Linked DNA regions of Drosophila melanogaster. The protein of the gene in region 1 purifies or fractionates together with the protein of each later gene. This does not show direct contact. Each region holds a gene or a part of one and is shown on either strand. Other genes may lie near its edges.

The links. The genes of interacting proteins can lie anywhere in the genome.
Region 2: the proteins of CG7546 (region 1) and Iru purify together in Drosophila melanogaster (affinity purification with western blotting, with the first as the bait; one study listed by BioGRID). This does not show direct contact.

What each region holds. Positions count from the first base shown.
Region 1 is NT_037436.4:7,508,389-7,518,395, forward strand, and holds CG7546 (uncharacterized protein), read left to right. Parts: upstream 1-2,597; 5' UTR 2,598-2,988; coding exon 2,989-3,054; exon of another isoform or gene 3,055-3,122; coding exon 3,123-3,240; exon of another isoform or gene 3,241-3,316; coding exon 3,317-3,528; exon of another isoform or gene 3,529-3,581; coding exon of another isoform or gene 3,582-3,584; coding exon 3,585-4,340; exon of another isoform or gene 4,341-4,397; coding exon 4,398-5,004; intron 5,005-5,134; coding exon 5,135-5,233; intron 5,234-5,429; coding exon 5,430-5,966; intron 5,967-6,260; coding exon 6,261-7,193; intron 7,194-7,252; coding exon 7,253-7,389; intron 7,390-7,437; coding exon 7,438-7,662; intron 7,663-7,727; coding exon 7,728-8,078; 3' UTR 8,079-8,928; downstream 8,929-10,007.
Region 2 is NT_033777.3:9,002,828-9,009,305, reverse strand, and holds Iru (iruka), read right to left. Parts: upstream 2,851-6,478; 5' UTR 2,593-2,850; coding exon 1,450-2,592; 3' UTR 1,276-1,449; downstream 1-1,275. Other genes in the region: CG11983 (uncharacterized protein), read right to left, coding at 1-342, 401-592, 676-720; Prosbeta3 (proteasome beta3 subunit), read left to right, coding at 3,235-3,852; CG11980 (uncharacterized protein), read right to left, coding at 4,056-4,797, 4,855-5,167, 5,231-5,255; CG31100 (uncharacterized protein), read left to right, coding at 5,716-5,765. UniProt on the Drosophila melanogaster protein: E3 ubiquitin-protein ligase that mediates E2-dependent, 'Lys-48'- and/or 'Lys-63'-linked polyubiquitination of substrates. Recognizes miRNA-empty Ago1 and triggers its degradation via polyubiquitination independently of the Bag6 complex.

The DNA.
Region 1 (10,007 bases):
CGCCAATTACGATACTAGCCACTAGTCACCCACTACACACACTCCTCTGTTGGCCAAGTTTTGTAGTTCTTACCGCTGGTGTTGCATCCACATTGACAGCTTAGATTAAGTGTTGACCATAAATTGGCACGGTTAGTTGGCGCTTGTATTTATGAGGCCAGTGCAGTTGCCATTTAGCAGGTCGAATTTATATACTGGCAATTACAAGTGGTTGTTCATTTGTTTAAAGATTTAATGTGTATATTTGTAATAAACATAAATTTCTTCAGTACATTGGTGATATTTAGGTACATATTTTGATAAGCACTTGTTTGAACAAATTTCTATATTATAAATTACGAGAGAAATAAAATATTAACCACAAAACTCTGTTGAATCTGAACTACTGGCACACGGGTTAAATTCCGCCATGAATGCTAAGGTTCCTTGGTGTTATATTGCCAATCAGCTGCGGAAACCACCCCACCCACTCGCACACCAAGGCCAGTCTCATTTTCCCCCACACCGCATGCTCCTTGGCCATCCGTAGTTTATGGCACAAAGGGGACTTGGCTTCAATTTTCTTTATATTACAGCTTGATTTAATTTGACGTGAGACTTGCTCTGGGGCCCTGTTCTTGACCAGACCGAAATTAGAAATGTAGCCATGCAATGCGGAAACTCGTACTTGAATACATTTCTAATTCTGATTCTGAAGTGAAGCGATTACAGGTTACATTCGGGAAAATTCAAATGTTGCTTAATGAAAATATGAACAATTGGAAAAAGCAAATGTCATTTACCAGCTGCCAAGAGCAGCGACTTATCAATCTGCCCGATTGATATAATTTCATAAGGCGACCTTTGCCCCCGCCCACAACAACAAAAAAAAAAAAACACTTTCAATGTAGTGCCACGCCCACCCACTGTGACAGGAAAAACTTTTGGTGCAAAAAAGTAATAAAAAGTAACGGAAAGCGTTAGCTTAATAACAAATGGAAAGCGGAAAACGAGAGGGCAGTGCTGGTCGAAAAAAAGGGAATGATAATGAAAATGAAAATGCATAAACAGAAATCGTTGACAAGGCGGTGGGCGGAATGTACTGGGCGCTTAGATGAAGGACGGCTGCGTGGAAAACTCATTAAAACTTTTCACAGCCCATTTAAAAGCAATTTGTAAATTGTAAAACTTGCACTTGGACCGCGCAAAGTCGGTGAAAAACGTTAATAATTATTATTTATACTTTCACGCCAAGCATAATCCATATTGTAAGCGAAATGTAGGCTGAGCATTTTAATACAATTAACTGTTTGTAATTTGTACATCAATTTTCTCAAAATGCTTAATTGGGAATCAAACATTTAAACATAGCATATATCCTGACAACAAGCTTACAAAAACATCTTTTATTATTAAAAAAAAAATCTACAAACTTTAAGCAAGGTATTTTTTTGAAAATACTGTAATTAATCATTCAATTGCTTGCTAAAAACTCAGTTAAAAAAAAAAAAAATCCTCAAAGAGAATGGTGCACTCGGCAATCTGCCACTGCCCATTTCCGTGGCATCTTTTCAGTCCGGAAAATAAGGGCTCGTCGCAATCACTTTGAGCCCGTGGAAAGGCTCACAATCGCAGACATTAAATCAAATTTCCGCACAATTCCGGCAAGGGGTATGCGAAAAATTGTGTTAGCTGCGGTTGGCTTTCCTTCGCAGCCTTCTGCTTATTTTACTTCCACTACCGATGCCACAGCGCCACTTAAATATTCAAAGCGAAAAGTTGCCCTACACCTTTGCGTCTTGGCTGACTTTCCCCTGTTTTCCGTGTTTTCTTTTCTTTATTATTCAAACGCCGCTTTTCATGTGCAGTGCCCAAAAATTCCCACAGGATGCAGTCAAAGGCGGTGGGGTGATTAAGGGTTGGTGTGGGGTTAGGGGCGAAAAGGTTGATGGGTGAATTGTATTTCACATGTGCAGTTCTTTAAACGTTTTTATAGCGCTCATCTCGCTCATGCCCCACACGCTTTACATTGTGGGCAAGAGTCTAGGCAATTCCCTGGAGATATTATACCTTTCGGTTAGGTTAGGATAGCAAAGAATGTTCAAAAACAATATAAATAAAACAGATTAATATATTTAGTACAAATTCAAAAGAACCGCCTAAGTGGTTTTTAGGGCTGCCAGACAAGAAAAAAATTCGTGCACTCTGGTTTGAGTCAATGCTAACAGTGCTGTATTCTTCTTTGTGTTTGCCACTGAAATAATAATTTGGGTATTTTAGGACATTTTGTGTACTATATGCTGAGCTGGCAACTTATCTATTTTGTAGACATATGCAGCTATTATATTTTAAACTTCAGACAAATTAATATAATATATTATATTTTAATCTTAAGACAAGTTGTTATAATATATTTTTGTTATAATATATTTTAAGCTTCAGAAAAAAGGTTATTTATCTGCATATTCCAATTTTTGTAATCGTTACCAAACTCAATAAAATAATTTTCAACTGCTCCATACAATACATATCATTTTTGACAGATCGCTTAATTTTTGCTTTAAAACGGAATTTATTTATCAATACCTGCTAGTTTAGCTTTTTACAAGATGGCATTTGGCTGCTCTTTCACTCCGAGAGTTGGCAACACTGCCACACTGTCAAATTCCAGTAATTATTCTCGTCCACTGCTGTTGTTGAATTGCAAAGTCGCTCGGCGCGTTAGCATAGAAGCCCAGCATATATTTGCCCGATCCGAAAGCAGGCGGAGATCAGTGAAAACGTATACATATTTACCGCTAGTTGAGCAGTGCGAAAACGTGTCCGGAAAAGCCAAAGGCCAACGACAGCGAGTGCGAGCGAGAGAGCAGGTGACAGCGACACCGACAAGATTCCCCGCCTTCCCCCCTCCACCAACGAACCCTTTTCGACTGTTTTTTTGCACGGCACGGGGAAAACCGAAAGAAAAACGAGATTTTCAATTGATTTGCGACGCAGTCCGGCCGGAAAATGCTCATAAACCTTAAGGTGAAGACCTTAGATGCGCGCATCCACGAATTCAGCATCGACAATGAGGTAATGTTTGAGGTTGTGTGTCCAGGTCTAGGGGCTTCTTTATATCCATGCACCCCACCCATTTCCAGCTCACCATCCGCCAGTTCAAGGACCAAATAGCCGAGAAGACTAACATTGCGGCGGAAAACCAGCGTATCATCTACCAGGGTCGCGTTCTGGTCGATGATAAGCAGGTGAAGGAATATGGTGAGTCATGCCCCCGGGAGCACCCACATATATATATGCACTTATATCTAATACAACAATATCAATGCCCATGCAGATGTGGATGGCAAGGTGCTCCATGTGGCCGAACGACCACCATTCTCGCAGCGCGGAGCCAATGCCCGCAACAATGATGAACCCATGCGAACCTTCCGCAATGTGGCACGTCCGCCGCCGCCCGGAATGCGTACTTCTCCGTACTTCCGCGCCCTCGATGGAATGCTGGTGGGCACCATGGCCATACCGGTGAACAATGGTCCAGTAGCTGGGGTAAGCCATTAAGATGAAAGCTCTTTCAACACGCGTATTTAAACGTATCTTAGCAGACACGTCCTCCACCGAATCGTTATCCCAACTCGTCGTCCTTCTGCATTAACCGCATCACGGTCGCCCTGCACATGATCGATTGCGCTGACAATATAGCAGCTTATCTGGAAAATCCTGCCGTTGGCCTGAACAATCAATCACTGGACATTCTGCAGCGCGGTCGCTGGTCGATGGAGTCCACAGTCGTGGAAGTAGGTGTCTCCTCGACTGATCTGCCACGCAACAATAACATCATCGATATGGTCCAAGATGCCGTGACCGCTGCTCTTTCGCATACAGGAGCACGCAACTATACGGTGGTTCAGCTGCCCACGGTTTATACCAATGAGAATGGCGAGACGAGCCAGCAGAGAACAGCCGAAGCTATAACAAGTGAGGGAGCAGCCAGTGGAGCTGCAAGTAATGCTAGTGGTGAAACCACAGCTGCTACTGTGATTATCGAGGATGTTATCGAAACGGACGACGAAGTGGCCGATGGAGCATCAGATCGTTCGGTCACGCCAACACCAGAGCCGGAGGCGGAAGGAGCAGTTGGTGGCCAGCAAGTCACTGCAGCAGAGACTCCCACATCCTCGGTTGGATCAGCAAATGACGCGGCTGCCGAAGGCGGCAACAACTCAGGACCCAGGCGACGCACTCGTCCTCAGGTGTTGGCCCAAGTTATTCAGCACTATCGTGGCGTACAGGCTCGCTTGGCGCCTTTTGTTGATCGGTACTATGAGATTCTCCAGAATGATCCCACTTTTGAGGAGAGTGTAAGTTAATAAGCCGAGCTCTTATAAGCCTATTAAAACATTAAATTCCTTTTTTAGGACACCGATGGTCGCGAGAACGCACAGCGCATCTTCGATCGCGTCTCGGAGGCTTTCCACTACCTTTCGCACGCCCAGCACGCTATATCCGATTTAATGCTTGACCTGTCGCAGCCAGGGCCACGTGTGCTCACCTGCCGACCCATTCTCGTTGAGCAGAGCGGTTACATACGCTCCAATAACATCTTCACGCCCAACTTTTTGGCACCGCCCTCGGGTATTATCAACGAGCCTTTCCGCAATAGAGCACCTGGTTCTGCCTCTGCAGCTGGCACTCAAACGGCCACCACAGCGGGCACTCAAACGCCCACCAGCGCGGGCACTCCAACTGCTGTGGCACCTTCGCAGGCTGCCAATTTGCAGGCGGCCACCGATGCCAGTCGCAGTGCAGCGGCCATGGCGGAGATCGCCAGTCGAGCTGCTGGAGCCGCTGCGGAAATGGCTGCCGGAGCTGCCAGTGCGGCTGCTGGAGCTGCGAATGCGGCTGCCGCCGCCGCTCGCGATTTATCCAGTGATCAAGTAGAGGATCCCATCGACGAGCCTATGGTGGGGCCAAATGCTGCAGGTGCTGAAACACTAGCACAAGAGCAACAGCGTCTCGAAATGGGTAAGAAACTTTATACAAACACTGTATGCAGATGAGGCTGTGCAAAATCAAATTCACTCATGGCCTTAGACAAGGAATTCGTGTCTCTGAATCGTAAATATTCCCGTATTATTTGTTGAAAATATTCTAGATCACGACCACGATCAAGCTCAAAGTGAAACTCCCGAACGAGAAACCCGACCAGTGCCTAGGCTGCGTGTCTATGTGCCAGTGACTTTGCCACCGCCCAGTATGTTTTGATTGTTCGGTTGAATCCAACGCCTCAGTCATGGCAGACTAACCATAATCTTAGCTGCTCACTCACTGCATCCCTACTTTGGTTTCACTTTCACTTTGCTAGTTTGATTCTTTTACTGACCCGGCCCTAAACAAATTAACCCTTGCTATACTGAACGCTTCAAAGAGCTGTTACTGCTGCTTTACAGATCCCCAATTGGAAATGGCCCGAATTATTCAGGCAATGGTCAATGGTCAACGACCGAACGATATCCATGTGGAATTCAATGCCCCCAACGTCATGTCGATTAACTTGCCCGTGCATGTGATGACGACCGTGCGACAGGCTCCGGCAGCTGGATCGAACGAAACAGCAGATCAGTCTGCGTCCGAATCCTCCTCCCCTGAAAGTGCGCCTGCGTCGGGCAATGGAGAGTCTCCAAATGCAGCTTCAACATCAAGTGGAACACGCAGTGGCGATCAGAGGGCCAATACCTTGCCCACCACGGCCACCCAAACGCGCTCGACATCAAGACCACAGATTCAGATTGGCGGAAACAACAACTGGGGCGGACGCATTGCTCCGACACACACGGCATTCGACCGCTTTCTGCCTTGCAATAGTCATCACATTCGGGAACCAGAGCAGCTGCTCCAAAACAACAGTACCAGTCGCAGCACCTCGACAGCACCAGCAGGAGGAGCCACCGTTGTTCCGCCCACATCTGCTGCAGTAACTCGTCCTGGTGAGTACGGCTCCCATCCGGGGAAATCTAGCAAACACTACCTTATGTCCACGATCCATTTCGCCAATCCACCAATCCATTTCATTTGCACACTCACCAACCGGAGATGGAAAGCCAAGTGTATCAAAAACCTGTCGGATCAGGGCGCGATAAATCTTTAAATGCTATACGATTTTAAAATTTTTACAAAATTTAATAGTTAACTATACTAAAGAACTATTTATTTGCTATCTCGACCTCCGACTGGCCTCCATCTCTGACATTAATTTCCATTTTATCCATATCATCATTTAGTCACCACTGGTCGCATCCAACGCGGCAGTAACACAATCCGCCCAATGTGGTCGTCGCGTCGCCAGCGACCAGCCAGCGAGCAACTAAGCAACCTGGGACCGGCAGCCTGGGCGCAGGCGCAGACCCAAACAACTCATATACCAAGTGCCCACGTTGGTGCTGGCAGTACCAATGGGGCCGGAGTCGGAGCCGGGAGAGTGCGGCCCGTTGGAGGATCGACCATCAATCGTGATCGGCTGGCGACTCGAACGGCCCACGTTGGCGGTGGCAGCACCAACGGAGGCTTGCCCTCTGGCCGAAGGGGGCGACTACAGGCCGCCACCAGTCGCCTGTCCAGACATTTACCCACCCAACTCGCTAATTTTTTGATTAATAATATGAGAAATAATGCGCCAACAGCTTCGGTAGGCAGTGCAGTTGCCGCCGTCGGAGATACGGCCGCCTCACCATCAGGAGAAGCTGCCCCAATTGCTTCAACCACGCCAGCTGCTCCGCTACAAACTGTTTTGCCGACATCCACACCCACTCCTCGCGGAGACTCGAACAACCTGCGTTCGCAACTGCGCACCTTCCTCAACGACAGCCTGTTTGTCGGAGTACCCATCAACGAGCAGACTATTCCGGGGGCCATTGGTCGCGCACTAGACTGGTTCGGGGAGAGCCTGGTCTACCTGCCGCAGTACGAGCGTCCGGAGTACAACTCGCGCGACTCTGTGTGCAACATCCTGCGTGTCAGCCTCCGTTTGATCATCGAGCTTTGTAATGGAGCTCCGGCCGGTGTAGATAGTGCTCAATTCGAGCAAAGTCTCAAACAGATTTGTGACCAATTCCGCAAGCGGCTATACAGCGTTCTCTTCCTGTGCCTTGGAAGCGCGAATGCGGAGCTCTATTGGCGCCAGCTAATGCGCCTCCTTTGCGCACCGATGCGATCCAGTAAGTTGACACCAAAAGTGATCGTAAGTATACTGGTTAACTCAATATTTCTTTTGCAGACTTCCGCAACGAAGCCCTGCAGTTTTTGTGCATCTACATAGACCCCACGATTCCCGCCCAAACTGACACAGTGGATGCCCAACAGTTCCTGGTCTTGCGCAGCATTCAAGCAGCTCCTCCAACAGCTGCCGACGAGGTAGGTTTCCAAACTATTTTCCATGCCCAGAAACTTATGCACTAATAGCCATTTGTGGCGCCGCCTCCTTTTGCTTTCAACCCACAACAGCAGCAGCTGCAAGAGCAAACTCTGGACACGGATGTTGAGATGTCCGAAGTGACCGCCAGCGGCAGCAACAGTTCACCGGCAGACGAGCTACCAGCTGTGATTGTGGGCTCAGAGCCTTGGCACATGAGTTTCCCCAATGATTGGTTGCCTGTGATAACGCGCGACCTACAGACCCAGGCAGAGGTAGGTTATTCCGTACAACTTTCTGGAATTACACTAAACTATGTCTCAATCTATGTATCCTGCAGCAGAGTAATCGTCCCCAGCCGCCCTTCTCGGATGCCTACATCTCGGGCATGTCCGCCAAGCGCCGCAAGATAATTCAGTCGGAAAAGCCGACTGCCAGCGTGGAGTGTCTCATTGCTAATGGAGTGCAGAGGGCTATCCAGAGCGTCGGCTTGGGTGGAAGCAATGGTGGTAGCGCCTTAAACGCGTCGATCAGTATGGATACCGTAATCGGATCCATTGCTCACGACTCCACCATTCAGGCCGCCTACACGGATGCGGTGCGCAATAGTTTAAAAGAGCGTACCGAGCGGGATGTGGATTTTAAGACCAGCAAGTATCCGCAGATTGCCAAGTTCACCGAGCAAAAGTAGGGGGCAGATACGGAGACGGAAGCCTGGCCACCTAATGCTTCTTGTACATTTTACTTTAATAAATTGTATTTAATTTAGTTAATGGTTAAGTTCTGTTTAAATCGAGAAGACGACGAAGATTGCGACAACACCAACACACGGAGTGGACCCTTAGCAAATGCTTCAAACTATTTAGAATAATAATATCCAACTGATATTTATCCACACACACACAGAGATACACACACACAATGGGTCAAGACGCAACAGAGCCCAATCAAAAACAATTTTTGCGGTGCATGAATGAGCAAAATAAACACACATATTAACCGAAACAATGGCGATTGGAATTGGATTAAATGGACTTGGATATTAGACCACACACCGAGCGGAATGCTTTCAATTGTCCCAAATGGCGGTGGCGTCCCCGCGTCGGATGACGTGCTGCAAAATCAGAACAGACCCGTAGACCCGTGACGACAGCCAAATTCCGAATTCCAGCCAAGTATTTTGGCCGGCGCCAAATCGCCATTGACGTGAGCCGATGGCACATGATTGCTGGACGGCCGATGACGACCAATCCGGAATGTGCAGATCTATTCAAGTGGATAAGCCTTCAGCAGAAGCATTACCGGAGGCATATCCACACCATCCCATCGTACCAGCAACCCGCACCATCCCATTTCATCGTCATCGAAGTCCGAAGCCTACGCTACTCTTGTTATTGTTGTCGCCTGCAATCGAAACACGAAAATGTGTCACATAAAAATGTTGAGAATATTTATGTGCAAAAAAAATAAAATAAAAACAAAAAGAAATACCAAGAAGCCGTAAAGAAAAGAAAACATATGAATAAATAATAATTATAAATATTTGCCGCTTTTCTTTAAATATTTACTCGAGATGATTGGGCGCCAAAAATAGATTGGCTACGTAATCGAGGTATATTTTCGTACCTACAGTTATTGATTACAGTGCGGTTCAGCACTGTAACACCACAATTGGCATCTGCTAAGCTCGGCAGTTGCTGTGCTAAAGAGTTTAACATTTTAGTTTATTCCAAGCTGCCAGTTTAGATCATAATTTAAATAACTATCTGCAATTCTTAGAAAATTATTCTGCGTGCGTTCTAATAAATTTATGTTAGATATATTCATAAGAATCATGACAATTTGAAAACTATAAACAGTTTATTTAAAAAAACCTTCCAGAGATATGGACATTATTTGATAGGAAAAACTGTGGAATTCGGAAAATATGTTCATAAAAGAAGAGTTTATCCCATTTATTAACAGATCTAAAACAGGAAGTAGTTCAATTACGAGAGGAATATTATTAATTGAAACATTATTGGATTGATCGAATAAAAGCCGGTCATAAGATTTAATTTTTTAAATCCCTCTAAATGAGTGAGCCCGGCTGTATGTAATTAAGTTAATCTCTCCGACGGCCCTAAACATAACATAATCGTGCCAAGGTTCCTCGGGAGCTTGCAGTCTGCATGGAAAATGGAGATGGATGTGTTGGCTGGGCATCAGAAGTCACTCAGCCAGTGGCCGCCCCCCGATGATCCCGATGATTAATTGCAGCCAGAACTGCAGACGACGACCACGACGACGACGAGGAGGAGGAGACATCGTTGGCACGCGCAATCCGTGGAATTTGCGGAATTTGTGGCGAGCGCATTTAAGGCGCCCAGTGTTTAATTATGCATGCGGTCCCAGAACTTGGAGATAAATTAAGGCAGCGGACTTTGATGCATGGCTCCTGCTCCCGGCTCCCTGCTCTCTGTCGCCTGCTGCCTGCTGCCTGATCCCATCCCCGCCAGAGTTTTGGAATCGCTCTGGCGCCAGTGGAAAATTTTCACTTGGCCCAATCTCAATTGGGCTGCGCAGATCCTTAAACAAGCCGGTTCCATTCAAACACTGCCAACGATCCTATCAGATACGA
Region 2 (6,478 bases), on another chromosome or scaffold:
TTCGGAGTAGAGAGATTCTTGATTGGCTAGGGGCTTATTCTCTGGGGTCATGATCTTACTACGGCAATGTGGGCAATGCGTTTCGTTCTGAACTTCCGACCGTTCGAGACTAGCCTGAAACATATCGATTTTTCTACGCAGCTCATAGCTATCATCATCGTAGTCCTCCGTAGGAGTTATGTGGCCATTCTGGGCTTCTATGACGGTTGTTTGTGTGGCCTTATCCACCAGACGGTGGTCTGTTTTTACGGGCACAGCATCCTCTCCAGCTGCATGCTGCATTTGTTCAAATAGAATGTTGGCCAAACGGCATTCCTGAGTGTTCCTACGTACCGCAGCTATCTGTCGGTATACAACTTATATGAACATGGCATAATATATGTATCTGGGAACCTTGTACCGTTTTGACCATGGCTCTTTGGTAGATCTGTGCCGCCATGGAAGCCTTCTTCGCCTTGTTCTCCAGTTGCTCCAAGCTCGCGGGAATGCACGCCCAGGCTGTGGGCTTGTGGCGATTACGGGATTGGTTGGCCCAGGCGCAGACATTCTCCTGCAGCTGGCGCTCCAAATAGAGCACATATTGCTTGCGCACCTACGCAAAATAAACAAAAAAGTTCGGAAATAAACAAAAGTCTTCCCCAACAAATATTACATAGTTGGCTTGCTAAGACATACCACGTCGGTGAGCACCACAAAATCGTTACTTCCTTCGTGTGTCATATTATTTCGTTGGTCACGGCGTTATATTCTTCACTTCAATTGACTTTACGCATTTTGGCGGAGTTCTTAAACGGTTAAGTCAGATTTTCAGTCAAATGGGAATTTAAACAATTTGACGGAGCTGCCACCCTGTGAGGAACATATGCTTCCCGGAATAGTATGACCAGACCGTGTGAGCCAATAAGCTTCCTTTAGAACTTTTCGAAGTTTACAACCAGGATCAGACGAGACAGTAAAAAAATAAACAATAAAAATTGAAGTGTATCCACCTGAAAAACAAAAACACCGTTTACTTGTTGTCAATAAAGTTTAAGAATAATATCAAGTTTGAAGTCTAGACTACAATAGATGTTTATTTTAGAAAGTATTTTAATTTTACACGTTCGAGCTGCATGTTATTGAAATAATTCATTAAAGGAATTTCTTGAGGCAAGCACAGAGTCAGTTCCTATTTTGATTATGTAAATATACACGACACGCATATATGTACAATACAAGTTCCATTACAAAGAAAAATAAGCAACTACGCGATACGATAAACGAGAGTTGATTTTTGCAGAGCCAACGGAATCGTATGTCCCGTTTTGTTTATTACAAATCGTTATTTTGAACAACAACAAAATTAAGCGTGAGGAGAAACTATTATAAATATATATGCGGCCAATATTTGGCTTAATTTTGAATATCAATCGATCATCGCTCCACTTCGATTTAGCATCGCCCTACCAGCTAGTCCAGAAACATGTTGTCGTCGTCAAAGGTAAAGATGTTGTTGCGTGCTGCCTGGGCGGGATTAGCATCCGGACGTGTTCGGCCGCCTTCCGCCGCTGCCTGACTGGGATTATTAGCCGGCGAGGGATTGTCCGTTCCTGTGGCGGTGCTGGCCGATCTCCTTTCGGAATTACTGCCATCGGCCGCCATCTCTGGTCCGAAGGCATCGAGCATGACAAATTCGTCGTCCGCATCGTTGCCATCGTCTGCCAGTGACTTGCGGCATATGGGGCAGGTGCTGTGCAGGTTTAGCCAAGGCACGATGCAGTTCTCGTGATACAGGTGCGAGCAGGGCAGCTTGCGTACCGTCTCGTCAATCTTGAAGTCGTCCCAGCATATAGAGCACTGGATCTTGCGGTTTACCTCCTCGGCATTGATCTGCACATTGGGTATCTCGTTTATGCGCTGCGCCGACAATGGCGGCGGTCCTGAAGTTTCCATTTGGTTGAGCATTTGGGTGACAATGGTGTCTAGTCCCTCTCGGCCCCACGCATAATCTCCCGGGTTTCCCATGAAGAACATGTGCGAGTTACCGCCGCCGCCTACACCTCCTCCACCGGGTCCAGTTACTATTTCGGCCGTGGCGCCGGCCAGTGGCAGGCTCTGCAGAAAATCAAAGAGAACATTGTCCAGTCGGTCCAAATTTGCCGGACGCACTCGTCCGCCGGCGGTCAGGCCGCGGGCAGAGTCACTACCCGAGGGACCACCAAAGCCGCCTAGATGCAGCACGTTGCTGTGCCGTCTGTTTGGCTCGATGGTAATTTCCAAGTTGGGCACATTCCGCATGTTTAGCAGCGACACAATATCGTTACGCAGCGACTCAACATTCACCTGAGATCCGCTCGATGAGCTGCCTCTGCTCAGGGTGTCGTGTGAGCCAGAAGAGCCACTACCGCTGCTTCCGGATCTGGCACTGCCGGATGCTCCAGCCGTCGAAGAATCCATCTCCGGCGCATTTGCCGGCAGCTCCTCCACGAAACCGTTGGCGCACAGCGGACAGGTGAAGTCTGAGTTGGGAATGTTGATCTCCACGTTGCACATGTGGCAGAAGAATCGCTTGGCTTCCGCGGGGCGGTCCTCCACAACCATTGCCTCTGCCATCCTGCGGTAGGTTCTTTATTTCCTGGGCAACGGCTCCACTGACGATTGTGCAAGACTGTCGCCTTCCGATGATGTAGGCTGCTTGCGGCTGTAGACGTTGATGTGACAAGAGGAGGACAAGGTACACGCGCCTAGCTTTACCCGGTCATTGGGTTCAGTCGGAACAATTGGGAGTTTAAGGGATAGAATTTAATTTTTCTATAAATAAGGGCCCCTTACAAAGTGGCCTTTGCCGCAGAGGAGAATAAATCCCAACTGATTGACGCGGCCTGGTCACACTGAAAGCTAATACTGGCATATTAACATTTGGATCTTTTATTACTTCAAAAGGATCCAAATGATAAGAAAAATGCGTTTTAACATTCGCGGAGATATTTTTGCATTTTTAAACATTTTATAACTTTAACTTGTGTTTAAAAATACTAATACTTAAAAAATACTTAAAAAACGCGATTCTTTTTGAAATCTCTTTAGTAGGCGTTGCCAGTTCTATACAGCCAGTCAGTATTAGCCCATCTTACACTCGCAGTCTGGCAACGCAGAGCAGAAACAAAAAGTCATCTTCCCAGGCGGCTTTTAGCATTTTGCAAAATTTCCATTTTTCTGCTGATTAAATTGAGCTAAGCGAATAGCAACGACACCATGTCGATTCTAGCCTACAACGGAGGATGTGTAGTGGCCATGCGCGGAAAGGACTGCGTGGCGATTGCCACGGATCACCGATTCGGCATTCAGGCTCAGACGATCTCCACGGACTTCAAGAAGGTGTTCCACATCGGCCCACGGATGTTCCTCGGGCTCACAGGCCTGCAGACGGACATCCTTACTGTTCGCGATCGCCTGATGTTCCGCAAGAATCTGTACGAGACACGCGAAAACCGTGAAATGTGTCCCAAGCCCTTCTCGGCCATGATGTCCAGCTTTCTGTACGAGCACCGCTTTGGCCCGTACTTCATTGAGCCGGTCGTTGCTGGCCTGGATCCCAAGACCATGGAGCCTTTTATCTGCAACATGGACCTGATCGGCTGCCCCAACGCACCCGATGACTTCGTTGTGGCCGGCACCTGTGCGGAGCAATTGTATGGCATGTGCGAAACCCTGTGGAAACCCGATCTCGAGCCGGACCAGCTGTTTGAGGTCATCGCCCAGTCCATTGTGAACGCATTCGATCGCGACGCCATGAGCGGTTGGGGTGCCACCGTCTACATTATCGAGAAGGACAAGATCACGGAGCGCACACTGAAGACCCGCATGGACTAGATGATGTTAGAGGTTCCCTTGGTGATTTTGTATACATTAACCGAAATACACATACAAATAAAATTTGTTTAGGTACAACATGTGCGTATTTCTTTTCCGTATAACGTAATAACACCAGAATTAAATGCGTAATAACACCAGAATTAAATGCGATCTAATTATTGTTTTTCAATTTCAAAAGCATAACTTTAAGTCGTATTATATTATTGCTCTTCTGTCCACTCGGTGGATTTCTTGGCCAACAACATGGCAGCCTCCTCGGTTTTTGCCCCGCCAATAAATCCTGTGTGATGGATGAATTCGAGATCTTTGATGCTCGCCTTATCGCATAGTTCATCGTCCATCAGTCCGCGCCAAGGAGTGGGCAGAAATTTGCGGCCCAGATAGCTGCCAGGCGTCACTGGAACTCCGGCCACTCGCCAACTATTGCCGCTGTTGAAGACGACCAGCTTGGGCACACCCTCCACCTTGTACTCCTTTTCAAGATCGAACAGATGAGACTTCCAGGGGCAGAAATTCTTCAACACAAGAATCTCGCCGGTGGGATGGACGTTCTTGGCATTTTTAAGAGCCTCTCGTACGTGATCCCGGGCTGGAATCCAGGAACATGATACCTCCACAACGTTGTCCACAAACTCACGACCTGCAGTATCCATCGCCTGTCTGAATCGGTCTTCGATGTCTACGCCAGTTTCCTGCCAGGACGGATTCAGTTTGGCAATGCGGGCAGATAGATGAGTGGAGATTTTGTATATAGGCTCAACGCCCTCGAACATGGGCACTCCATTATCAATTGCGTCCAGTTCGTTGATAAAATTCCTATAGATCTGAATAAAGGCCGTTTGCAGGTTTTCCGGTGAGAGTTTAATTCCCTTTTCGCGCTGCAGGATGCTCTGTATAACACGCTCGCCATAGTGACAGTAGACCAGTCCAGCACTGCTTAGCCTGGAGGGGATTACATTGGATTATACGGGTTCATTTACGCTAACACCACGAATTCACCTGACAACGTTGTAGTCCTCGCTTACATCTGGGCGAACGGAACTAAAAGTCTCCTTGAAGGTTATTTGGTGGTGATCGTACAATTTCTTGGCATGATCATAAACGCCGCCCACGTCGACAATTATATCGCACTTCTCCTTCAAAGCCTTGTTGTCCCGACTGCGGAAAATCTCTGCGTTTTTGTACTCATCCAATTGCTTGAGCATAAAACATGCGACCAACTCGTCGCAGTGAAAAGTGCCGCTGTGTGTGCCGATCCAAAGGGGAGAGCGTTTTGGTGGGGTAACTCCAGTCATTATAGATAGTTTTCCTGCTTCAAAACATTCAGTTAAGCCCAGATATTTCAATTAATTTCGGATTGTAACCAAAAACTTACGAAAACGAGGTAACAATCGGAACATTAGCGACGGTCTTTTCCTCCATTTAATATCGATATCACAAGTTTTTATAACTTGATATGGCAACACGCGTTCAGCTTAAATATATAAAAACTGCAGCGTGGCAGCACTGGTAACGGTTTTTTAAGCCGCAAACAATTAACAACATTTTAATTAAATACGTTTTATAGGCAAGTTGGATTTTAATATAATAATATATGAAAATTCAGTGAAATCTGTACCAAGCACTGCCAGCTTATCAAAGAACTTCGCCCCACACCAATCGATTGCATGGGCGTTTGTGCTTATCCAATAAATTAGCATTCGCTTGCTAATTTGTAAAACAACAACTCATAGGGACCACATCAATTTTTTGGCTGCTTAGTAGAGAATTATTGGCTGAAAATTTTAGTAAGCCTTTGGAACTCAAGACCCACGAATGGATACATTGGATAAAATTGACTAACCACAAGGATTTACCAAAATGGCAGAAGCCCGTTTGCGCCGAAATATAAGTCGGCAAGTACCCGCAATGTAAGAGTGATTAGTTTAAAAGATCATTAAAAACGCGCGGGAATCGGAAAGCTTAAAAATACATTACTGACCCACTGCGTGGCATTGCTTATATAATCGTTATAAGTTATTTAAATTTTACATTTCCGTTAATTGTGCGCTGAAACTGACGAACAATAATTAAAACCGAAATAGTAGGCAAACGGTCTATGTATGCGTTTAAAACATAAATCACCGCCGACAACAATGATCACGTGTATGAGCGCGAACAAAACGTTAAATTCAAATTGTTACACAGGCATTTTTCCCGTTGTCAGCATCCCATGACCTTCGAAAAGATGCTAAGCTCGGAAATTGAGTGGAAAAGGAAGTGCCTGTGTAAACGAAACTCGTTTGGAAAACACACTTCACTATCTCCAATTGGAATGCGAAATTCAGCTCGAATTAAAGTTCAATTTGCCCCGACGTCTACGTCACGCGGCCAAATCAAAAATTTCACAGGGCTTATTGTGGTACTAATCGATGCAGACACGCTTATCAAAATCTGGACTCGTTTCGACCTCAGCTTCTTGCAATTAAGCTTATCATACAGATTACGTTAGAAGTTCATTGCCACTGAGCGAAAAATGCGCTTGTTTTTACAACTACCCAAGTAATTATATTTTCACGCCCGTGAGCAAATAAGCAAATTCCACAGGTAAATACCAAACTGAAACTGAAAGGTATATTGTACC